Schizosaccharomyces pombe: one gene and its partner. The gene in region 1 interacts genetically with each later gene. Each region holds a gene or a part of one and is shown on either strand. Other genes may lie near its edges.

Region 1 (4,528 bases):
CAACTAAATATCCTTTTTCCTTGCAATGGAGGACAAAATGATACCATAAAGCATGTTTAGCAAGGACTTTTGGATTACCGAGAACAATTACACCATACTTTGCTCGAGTCAATGCAACGTTCAACCTTCTTGGATCGTTAACAAAACCAATACCTTGGTGTTCACTAGAACGTACACACGACAAAATAATGAAGTCCTTTTCTCTTCCTTGGAACGCATCCACCGATGCTACTTCAACAGCTTTATAAAGATCCTTCTGCATTGATCCGTTATTTTGCATGTACTGAACAATATAGGAACGCTGACCATCATATGGAGTAACAATACCAATTTGCTCAGGAAGCACGTTGCTTCTTAAAAATGTGGTAACAATTTTTTCACACGTTGAGGCTTCCGTTCTGTTTAAAAATGATGTACCGCTAGCCGACAGCTCTTCCTGACCGAAATTTGCATAAAACATTAATGGCGAATCAGGTTGTATCCATGGAAAATCAACATGTCTAGCAATACGCTCAGAAGTAGTGACACCATTTTGAAGAGTACCTTCATAAAAAGTGTTCGATGGAAATTCTGAAAGACAGGGATGCATACGATATTGCACAACTAATCTGAAAGGAGAGTTTCCTAATATAATCAGTCGCTCAAAAAGTGATTGGGAAAGGCTAGCTAATGCAACCTTTTTATTCATAACAACCGGTCCCAGTTGTTGGTGATCACCAACAAGTACTACTTGTTTGGCGCCTAAAACTAAAGGAATCATGCATTCAGGTTCTGAAGCCTGTGTAGCTTCGTCAATAAGTACTGAACGAAATTTGTACTTGGAAATCCTTCTATCACCAGCACCAACACAAGTACAACAAATGACATGAGCCGCACGTAATAGTTCTTTTTCGGCAGCAGCAACCAAAATACGCAGTTTTTTTTCATCCTGAATAGATAATTCGTTATTTTCACTTCGTAGCTTCAATAAACGTTGTAACTCTGGATTAAACTTATAGTTTTTAATTTGCTCATGAAGAGATAAAAAGGAAACCGATGATTCTATGTCTTCTCTAGACTTTGCGGCAACTCGAACGACACGAAGTCCTGTACGATGTATTTTTTCAGCAAGTTGGTCAACAGCAACATTCGAAGGTGCACAAACTAATACGGGAGAATGGGATTTACGCTTGCGTGATTGCATCGTGGCCAGGTGATAGACTACAGATGCTGAGGTGACAGTTTTTCCAGTACCTGGCGGCCCTTGAATTAACGAGAGTGGCTTACTTAATACTGCACGAACAGCTTCGCTCTGACTAGCATTCAATTTTGGCAGATTAGGCACCGATAAATCAGACGGTAATTTTGGTTTCAGGAAGGAAGGAGGGATATCGTGTCCTAGCAATTTATGATACAAAAAGCTTGAAAGACGTGATCCGTCTGTAGCAAATAACCTCAAAGCAGTCTGCATTCGATCAAATGAAGTAGATTTCCAAACATAATCGACGGAAAAATTATGAGTACATTCGATAGGTACTTTATCTGAACGCTTCAGTTCTAAACCTACCTCATCTGAAACGTTGTTAGGAATTTTAATAACATATCCTGTGGAGCTCCAGGGTGCTCTTAGTTCTCCTTCATATGTAAGCTTCATTTCATCTCCTATGGCCAACCGAATTTCACCAGATTCAAGTTTGGGAAGGAGAAACCAAGCAGTATATCGTTTATTGATAGCTTGATCCCACCGAACCACAACATCTTTTTGAGTCTGCGATTCTTTGAGTCGTTTATCATAGTCAGCCTCCGCTTGAATGAGCGGAGAAAGAACTGCTTGATACGCGTGAGCATCTTTATATCGAAGTTCTACTGAAGGTAATGAATCATCCTCAATGGGCTTATCCAAGTCTTCGAGGTTAGCATTAGGGTCTTTACGCCAAAGTTCTTCAAGCCTAACCATTTGCTGTGAAGTGATTGGGATTGCAAGCTTTTGTTCCTCTTCGGATGGAGGAGTTATCAACCATGGAAGAAACTGACGATCTGAAATAATGGGTTGCCATTGAGTCAAGTCCCAGTTCATATCCTTAGCTATGCTAGCTCTAGCACAAGGTTGTCGGCATAATAAAACAACCACTGTCTTAGCTTTTGCTGGTATAAATCCTAATAGAAACACATTTCTCGTTCCACAATTATAACACTCAAGTACTGTGTCTGAAAGAGAAGAATGGCTATGTAAAGCAACCTGCTTATGTCGAGCACGAACTAGGTGACTAATGATATGCGAAGCTCCAGATTTCCCTCTTACATTACAAAACCATTTATTACAATGCAAACATTTCAATATAGAATTTGGATTCTTTATGTGGCAATAGGCACAGTGTTCTTCAGAATATTGTTTTTCGACTAATAATTCTTCAAATTGATGCTCTAGTCCATTTTCAGAAGTCATATTTTTTGAACTAACTAAAGATGAAATATCATTATTAGGTTGTAGCCCTAAAGACATGGAAAGACAACTTGATATGTTATTAAGCCGTCAATTTGCAAAGTGTAAATAATTGTAACACATTTTTAGAAAGAAAGGTTAGTCATTTAGTGAGGTTTAATGAGTTAAAATGTGCTGCTAGGAAGCTCCCTAAAACGTAAACAAAAAACGCCGTTAATGGGAAAAACTAACAATAGCAAGACTCATTTACTTGTAAGATATTATATCTATTCAGGGTAGATAAATTTTGTCAGTTTCGAGATGATCATTTACGTTCTTGAAACAGCTGGTCGTACTATAGATTACTAAATAAGGTAGAGCACTGTAGTATTGTGACACAAATCGGTGCTCACTATTGGAATTAAACAAAATTATATAAACGGTTGCTGAGACCATGTAAACAATCATATTGAAGACTATTAATTTTTTGACTAACAGTTGTCGAAAAGTAATAAACAGATATTTTTAACTTAATATCGGACTCTATACAAATTTATTAACATGAGAGTTGTATCTACTCGCTCTGGAAGTTAGCATACCAAGTGTACCGTTACCCATTTTGAACTTTTCAAGGAGTGTGTTACTTCCACCTATACAACAACTGCCCGTGTGAAACTATCCAAATTGAAATAATTTTAAGAATTTCAGGCCTCTTAATTGTCTGAACTTCTTGGAGTTTATGTGGTGCTTAGCGGCAAACTCTTCATGAACTGAAGAGGCTTCAAAGAGGGGACTTCGAATGCTGCGTTTAACAAGTTGATTTACTTGTAAGTATTTGTTCTCCAAATCCGGGTTTAATTCCTTCTTTTAAAATTATTTTTCGTTTCACAACATTTCATTTTTCCCCACCCTGGTTTAAGCAGCTAGTGCCTTTAATTATTTGATTTTTCTACTTTCTTTACGTTAATCAACTTCGACAACAATTATAAATGGTGGGGTTAATAAGTACAAGCGAAACGCTGCCTAAACAGGAGAGTAAAAGTTCCTCAGCCCCAGTGTCTAATTTCCTTTCTCCTAATAATCTGACTGAACAGACATGCAGTCCTCTAAGAGCTCATTCTACTTTTAAAGAGCCCGTATTTCTGTTATCGCAACGCCAATATTCACACAATAGCAAAATACTTACAGAATTAATAAATAGTGTGAAAAGGCCTAACAAGCCCGATCAAAATGAAGAAAAATCGGCTGTTGGAATAGAAGAGAAGTCCTTTAAAGATGAACACTTGGCACAGAAAAAAGGATTGCATCATTTTGCAGATCTAAAAGAAATCTTTCTGAATAAAAATTTGAGTACTTTGGATGGTTTACAAGATGCATCGCTTCATGACAACATACAGAGTGGAAAATTAGACAACCCAGTTATATCTCAAAACCGTCGCATTGTACTAGAAAAGCTTGCTAATCCCAATTCCAGCAAAGAATATGAAACCATCCCTACAGTCGAAAACCGACATCCACTCAACAAATTAAGCAAGACAAAAACTTTAGCTTACGAAGAAACTATTAATCAGCTAGATGAAACCCCAGGAGGAACGAATTATCCCATGAACAAAAAAAAAACATTATCTTCTGAAACTAACAAATATGAATATCCACAACAATCGAAATTCCATGAATGTTCTCAATTTGCTTCACCACGGTCTTCTATAGTAAATGGACCCAGAACCCTCGGAAAAAATTCTAAAAGAGCTGATGATACTGCAAGAATGGCTTCGCGAATGAAACCATCCAATTTTAATAATAATATTCAGAGCAGTTCATACGGACATGCATCACAATCTACGAAATTAACGTCCCAAAGAGACAATGATCATCAAAAAGATCTCAACTTTAGTCCATATAAAAGTATTCCTTTAAATAATAGGCCTTATTCTCCTATGTCAGAAATTGTTGGTTTTTCTGGTTCTACAACTCCTCTGGACACTTATGGTAACAGACCAAGTGGTAAGAAGTTTAACAAAAATTCGAAATTTCGCCCTCCAGGTTCAACAATTTCTAGTTATTCATCCGCTTCTACGTTACGTAGACTTCCGAGGGCTCCCGGTTCAAAAGTTCATGCAGAAAGAC
Region 2 (4,528 bases), 460 kb from region 1:
TAGTTAAAAACCGAGTGACACTAACGTGAACAAGCTGGGTCCGTACAAAACATATGAGATATAGAAATTGAAAAGGTATTGATAGTAACGAAAGGTCCTACACATAAGAACAAAACACAATCAAAACAACAAATTATTGCAAATAACACCATTAACATCCCACGTAAGATCGGTTATCGTAAATTTTATTTGAGACTTTTGCTGTATAGCTCAAGCATCGTATCCCAGTATACGAATCGTCAAACCGGATTTGCGATACAAAAGTTTAAAAAAATCTCACAAAAGAAAATTCCATTTTATTCCTCTCAAAATAATCATAAACGTGACTTTGAAGAGAGAAAAATATCATCTATTAAATTAAATCCTTTTCGTTTTACAAGAATCACATTATAGTTTAAAAGCATGAGCCCGATCACATGCACATCCGAAGTGAGTATGTAAACGATATAAGCATGAAAATCATGTCCTCAATTGAACACTAGGTCGTAAAAATGGATAATTCATTGAGATAATTTCACTCGTCGTTTTTATGTACAAAGTATAAATTTGCTTGAAAGCGCTTATTATCGTAAGGTAAATGAAACTTAATAAAACCCGAGACATAGCCAAAACAAGATTAATCAAAAGCAGGGAAAAACAAAAAATCCAAGACTAATTCTTTGTAAAAGTTCTGGATCCAATAGCACCGGTGTTTGATGGAGTAAGGCTTGCAAAATAATCGTTCATCGCACTACCGTTTAAAGTATTTGATGAATTAGTCGCATTGCGATCCAGTGGAGAGGAAACATTTAAATTAGCAAAAGGAGTAGCAAGTTCTAACGGAGTAGCTGGCATACTACGTATGTCGGAAAAGGCTTTAGAATCATTTAGTCCTCTGAGAGAACGTATGCTATCCGCAAGATGCATAGAGGGAGCGGGTCGTCTAAGACTTGAAAAATTACTAGAAAGACCACCGGACGAGAAAAGACCATTGTCAAATAAACCAGAGGAGCTCAAGTGATTTGCAAGACTTGGTTGGCTCAAATTGGAAGCACCTAAAGAAGAAGGATTTAAAGTACTGGCGTTTGGGGCCATCAAAGGAGAGTGGTTAGCACTCGAATTATTAGCGGGAGTAAAATGAGTACTAGGCATGGTAATAACCACTTGCTTAGCTTCACCGTCACCAGTAACTGAATGATTGAGATTGAGACGGGAAGCTAATAAGGCAGCAACCCGACGTTCTTCCTGGGTGGTTGAAGAATCAAATACAAGATCATTAGTGTTATCGCTGCGATAATAAAATAACAAGATATGAGAATATACATTGAGTATAGCTGGATCATTCAAATCAAAATCAATGCCAGCACCTATATTGGCAACAGAAAACGGAGATTTCAATTGATTTTTTCGTTCTTCTACAGCGCGTTTCTCTTGTTTACCACGCTCAACACGTTCACGCTCCGCAGGCGGTAGTTGACGCTTCCATTCAACACGAAGACGACGACCAGTAATTTCATAGCCATTCAAAACTTGCACAACCGTTTTGGCTTCCTCTGGAGAATGGAAATTAGCAAAGGCAAGGCCCCTAAAAACTCCGTTATCAAAATGATAATTAAAAGCGTATGGACGTGGGATGTCTAATGCAGTGAACACTTTAAACAACACTTCTTTCTTCAAGGAGAATGGAATATTTTTAATAACAATCGCGGTAGGAATGGTCTCTTCATCAGGTTCAGGGGGTGCCGTCAAAGTTACAGAGTTGCTCATACCTCTAGACAGAGCAGTGCTAGAAGCTGAGTTTGGTACATGTGAATGGGATGGTTCGTTGAATGCATTTAAACTATCAAAAGGGTATGTTGTTGAGGAAAGTAATGAGGTAGTAGCAGGTCCAGAATTTTTGAGTACATCTAAAGCACTTGCAGACCGGAGAGAAAGGCCTGCTGAATTAGTTGCTTCTTTCCAAGCAGTTTGAAGACGAGTTCGACGAGGCTTTGCAGATGGATTATTGGCAGTTGAAATTTCAGGATCCAGCATTTGTTTAAGGGAACTTGGTAAAACCGTAGAAGAACCATCACCCAAACCATCATCTGCATTGTTGTGGGAAAATATGCCAGACCCTCCCATTCCAGCACTGTTAACGGCTGCATCAGAAAACGTAAACTTATCACGACCATATCGGTTCTCGAGATATCCTGATCCTCCAGGAATATTAAGACCTCTCATTTCTTCATCTTGAGCTCCATTTAATTCATCTAATTTGGGGAAAAAGTTGGACCGTTTTCTACGCAGAGATGCAGCCTCAGAATGGAAAGTTAAAGGGGAAGAAGCAGGAGAAAGAGTATTAGTTGACAAAAATGCCTGCGACAAAGGCGTTAATGGCCTTTGGCTTGTGCCCTCAGCCATATCGACACTAAACAAGTCGTAACTTCGTGTGGTGCGGAGGTTAGGTATCCGTGGACACCACCAAGGGCGCAAAGTCAATATACTACACCATATTATTGAGGTCTTAAACCCATAAATTCAAATATACCAATCTATAGAAGCAAATGTAAAAATAATTATTATAAAATGTATATACTACATACTGGTGTTGATTTTTAAACCCCCACTAGGTAACTTTTTGCCAGGCAAATAACAGGGTACTGTGATGATAAAACCGAAAGTCCATCTAAGAGCTCTTAAAAACACTGCTGCAATGATAAAGACTATTAAACTGTCTAATAATTCGACCACCTAAAACAGAACAAAATGAAAGTCCTAATTTTTTGTTTTTACTTAAATTCTTGTAAATTTATATTTTTATTAATTTGATATTCCATGAAATATCATTCGAATTTTAGCATATTAGATTATAGAATGAAATATGTGAAAAATATCTTCAGTGAACCTTAGGATCCAAAAGCTTCTCTCCCACAAGTTCTATTTTTGGTACCCTAGCAAATCCCATTGCAATATGACATAGAAAAAATTTAAATAAACTTGCATAAAAAGAATACCTTGCTCGATAACTCATATGGAAACTTCACAACCTTTATTAAAAAGAATGAATCATATTATTACAGTTTCGTCTATTTAATCCCTTTATTTCCAAAACCTCAATCCAAGTTTTCATTTATCTTTGCAAAAATTCATCTTCCAAATCACCACCAGTTGAACTTTTTTCCTGTACAGGAACCCTGTTGGAACCTGAAGATGGTATTTTGTGTTTTCTGCCACTATTAAAGCGTTCTTCCATCTCGGCCCAAATGCGATTTCGAGTTTCTTCGGTCTGTTCAGATGTGCCTTCTGCGTAGAGTGAAACATACTTTGTTAAAGGGGGGTATTCCTAAATAGGTTAGTATCTTAGCCAAGTTGATAGTTGAAATGAAGTCGAAAATACAAACATACTTTAATATACATAAGATCAATTTGACATTTACGCATCGATTTCTCACACTGCTTGCGTTTCTCATCATCCATAGTTTCATCCTTCAAAGATTTTTCCAATTGTTTAATACGTCGTTCTGCTTTTTTACGTTCTGAGAAAATCAGTAAGCAAGTTCACTGAACAAAAAATGCTGTTTTTATATATGTTTCATACCAAAAAATCGAACTTTTTTGTATCTTTCAAAAATCTTTTGCTTTTTATGCTCTAACTGTGCCATAGACAACTGCTCTTGTAGACCCAAAAGAGCTCGTTCATGTTCAACACGAATGTTTGCAGGCAAATTCTCCTTAAAGGAAGTTAGTTTTCTTATTCATTAACATAAAAAGGAAGGTAATATTTATTACACACTGAAACCGCAGATGTTTTTAAACCAGCAAAAAAATTACACACCTTTTTCAATAATCTCTCATTGTCGCGAATTTTTTTCTTCAGCACAGAAAGTCCAGGGCCCTTAAATTTTGGCATGCTAAAACGCTCAATAAAATAGATAAATAGAAATTCAAACCATAAACAATTAGTTCTGGTGAAGAACAGTAGTAAACTTAAAGGACTGCAATTTTTACAGCTGCTAGGTTCTCAAGTGACACGTTACTTTTATATATAAGTTTAAGCTGGTAATTATGATTAAAATATTTGATTCACTCACACTTATTCAAGGTAGATTTATATGTTGTACTTGTGGAGTGATTTAAAAGCTTAGACTTTCAACAGTACATCAAAGAATCGCTTGTTCGACACCGAAGTCACCCTAGAGATTAAAAAGTATGCAAAAGATAGTTAATCTAGCAACCGGTCTGTATTTTAATACTACTATTGTTAAGAGAATCATCAATAGCAAAAAGAAAACCTTTGAATTTGACAGCCTCTTTTCAGTCCGTTGTTAAGGCATTTCTGTTAGCTATCGTTAAGCAAATTAGTGCTAAACGTTATGTTTGACGAGTGGTTGAGATTGAAGAACGCTTCGATCAAGCTCTGTTTAATGTTTATGCAGTATTTTGGGCGTTTCTGGTAAAGCCTAATTGTCAAATTTCTCTTTAGAGAATGTTAAATAGAAGTAAAAAGAGGAATGGCTGTTATTTTTGGGTTAACGGCTCCTCAGATGAGATTCGATATGTCGCCGTC

The links. Genes that interact genetically often act in the same process or in processes that back each other up.
Region 2: of upf1 (region 1) and cip2, a mutation in one rescues a mutant of the other (synthetic rescue), as found in Schizosaccharomyces pombe (one study listed by BioGRID).

The regions. Positions count from the first base shown.
Region 1 is NC_003424.3:801,606-806,133, forward strand, and holds the start of upf1 (ATP-dependent RNA helicase Upf1), read right to left. Parts: upstream 2,529-4,528; 5' UTR 2,483-2,528; coding exon 1-2,482. Other genes in the region: DYRK family protein kinase Pom2, read left to right, coding at 3,391-4,528. UniProt on the Schizosaccharomyces pombe protein: RNA-dependent helicase required for nonsense-mediated decay (NMD) of aberrant mRNAs containing premature stop codons and modulates the expression level of normal mRNAs. Also capable of unwinding double-stranded DNA and translocating on single-stranded DNA.
Region 2 is NC_003424.3:342,748-347,275, forward strand, and holds the start of cip2 (RNA-binding protein Cip2), read right to left. Parts: upstream 2,425-4,528; 5' UTR 2,383-2,424; coding exon 652-2,382; 3' UTR 1-651. Other genes in the region: efg1 (rRNA-processing protein), read right to left, coding at 3,092-3,304, 3,367-3,497, 3,560-3,692, 3,797-3,871; GATOR2-SEACAT complex ubiquitin-protein ligase E3 subunit Sea4, read left to right, coding at 4,448-4,528. UniProt on the Schizosaccharomyces pombe protein: Regulates global gene expression after oxidative stress. Interacts and stabilizes mRNAs and may regulate their transition between different cytoplasmic components after oxidative stress.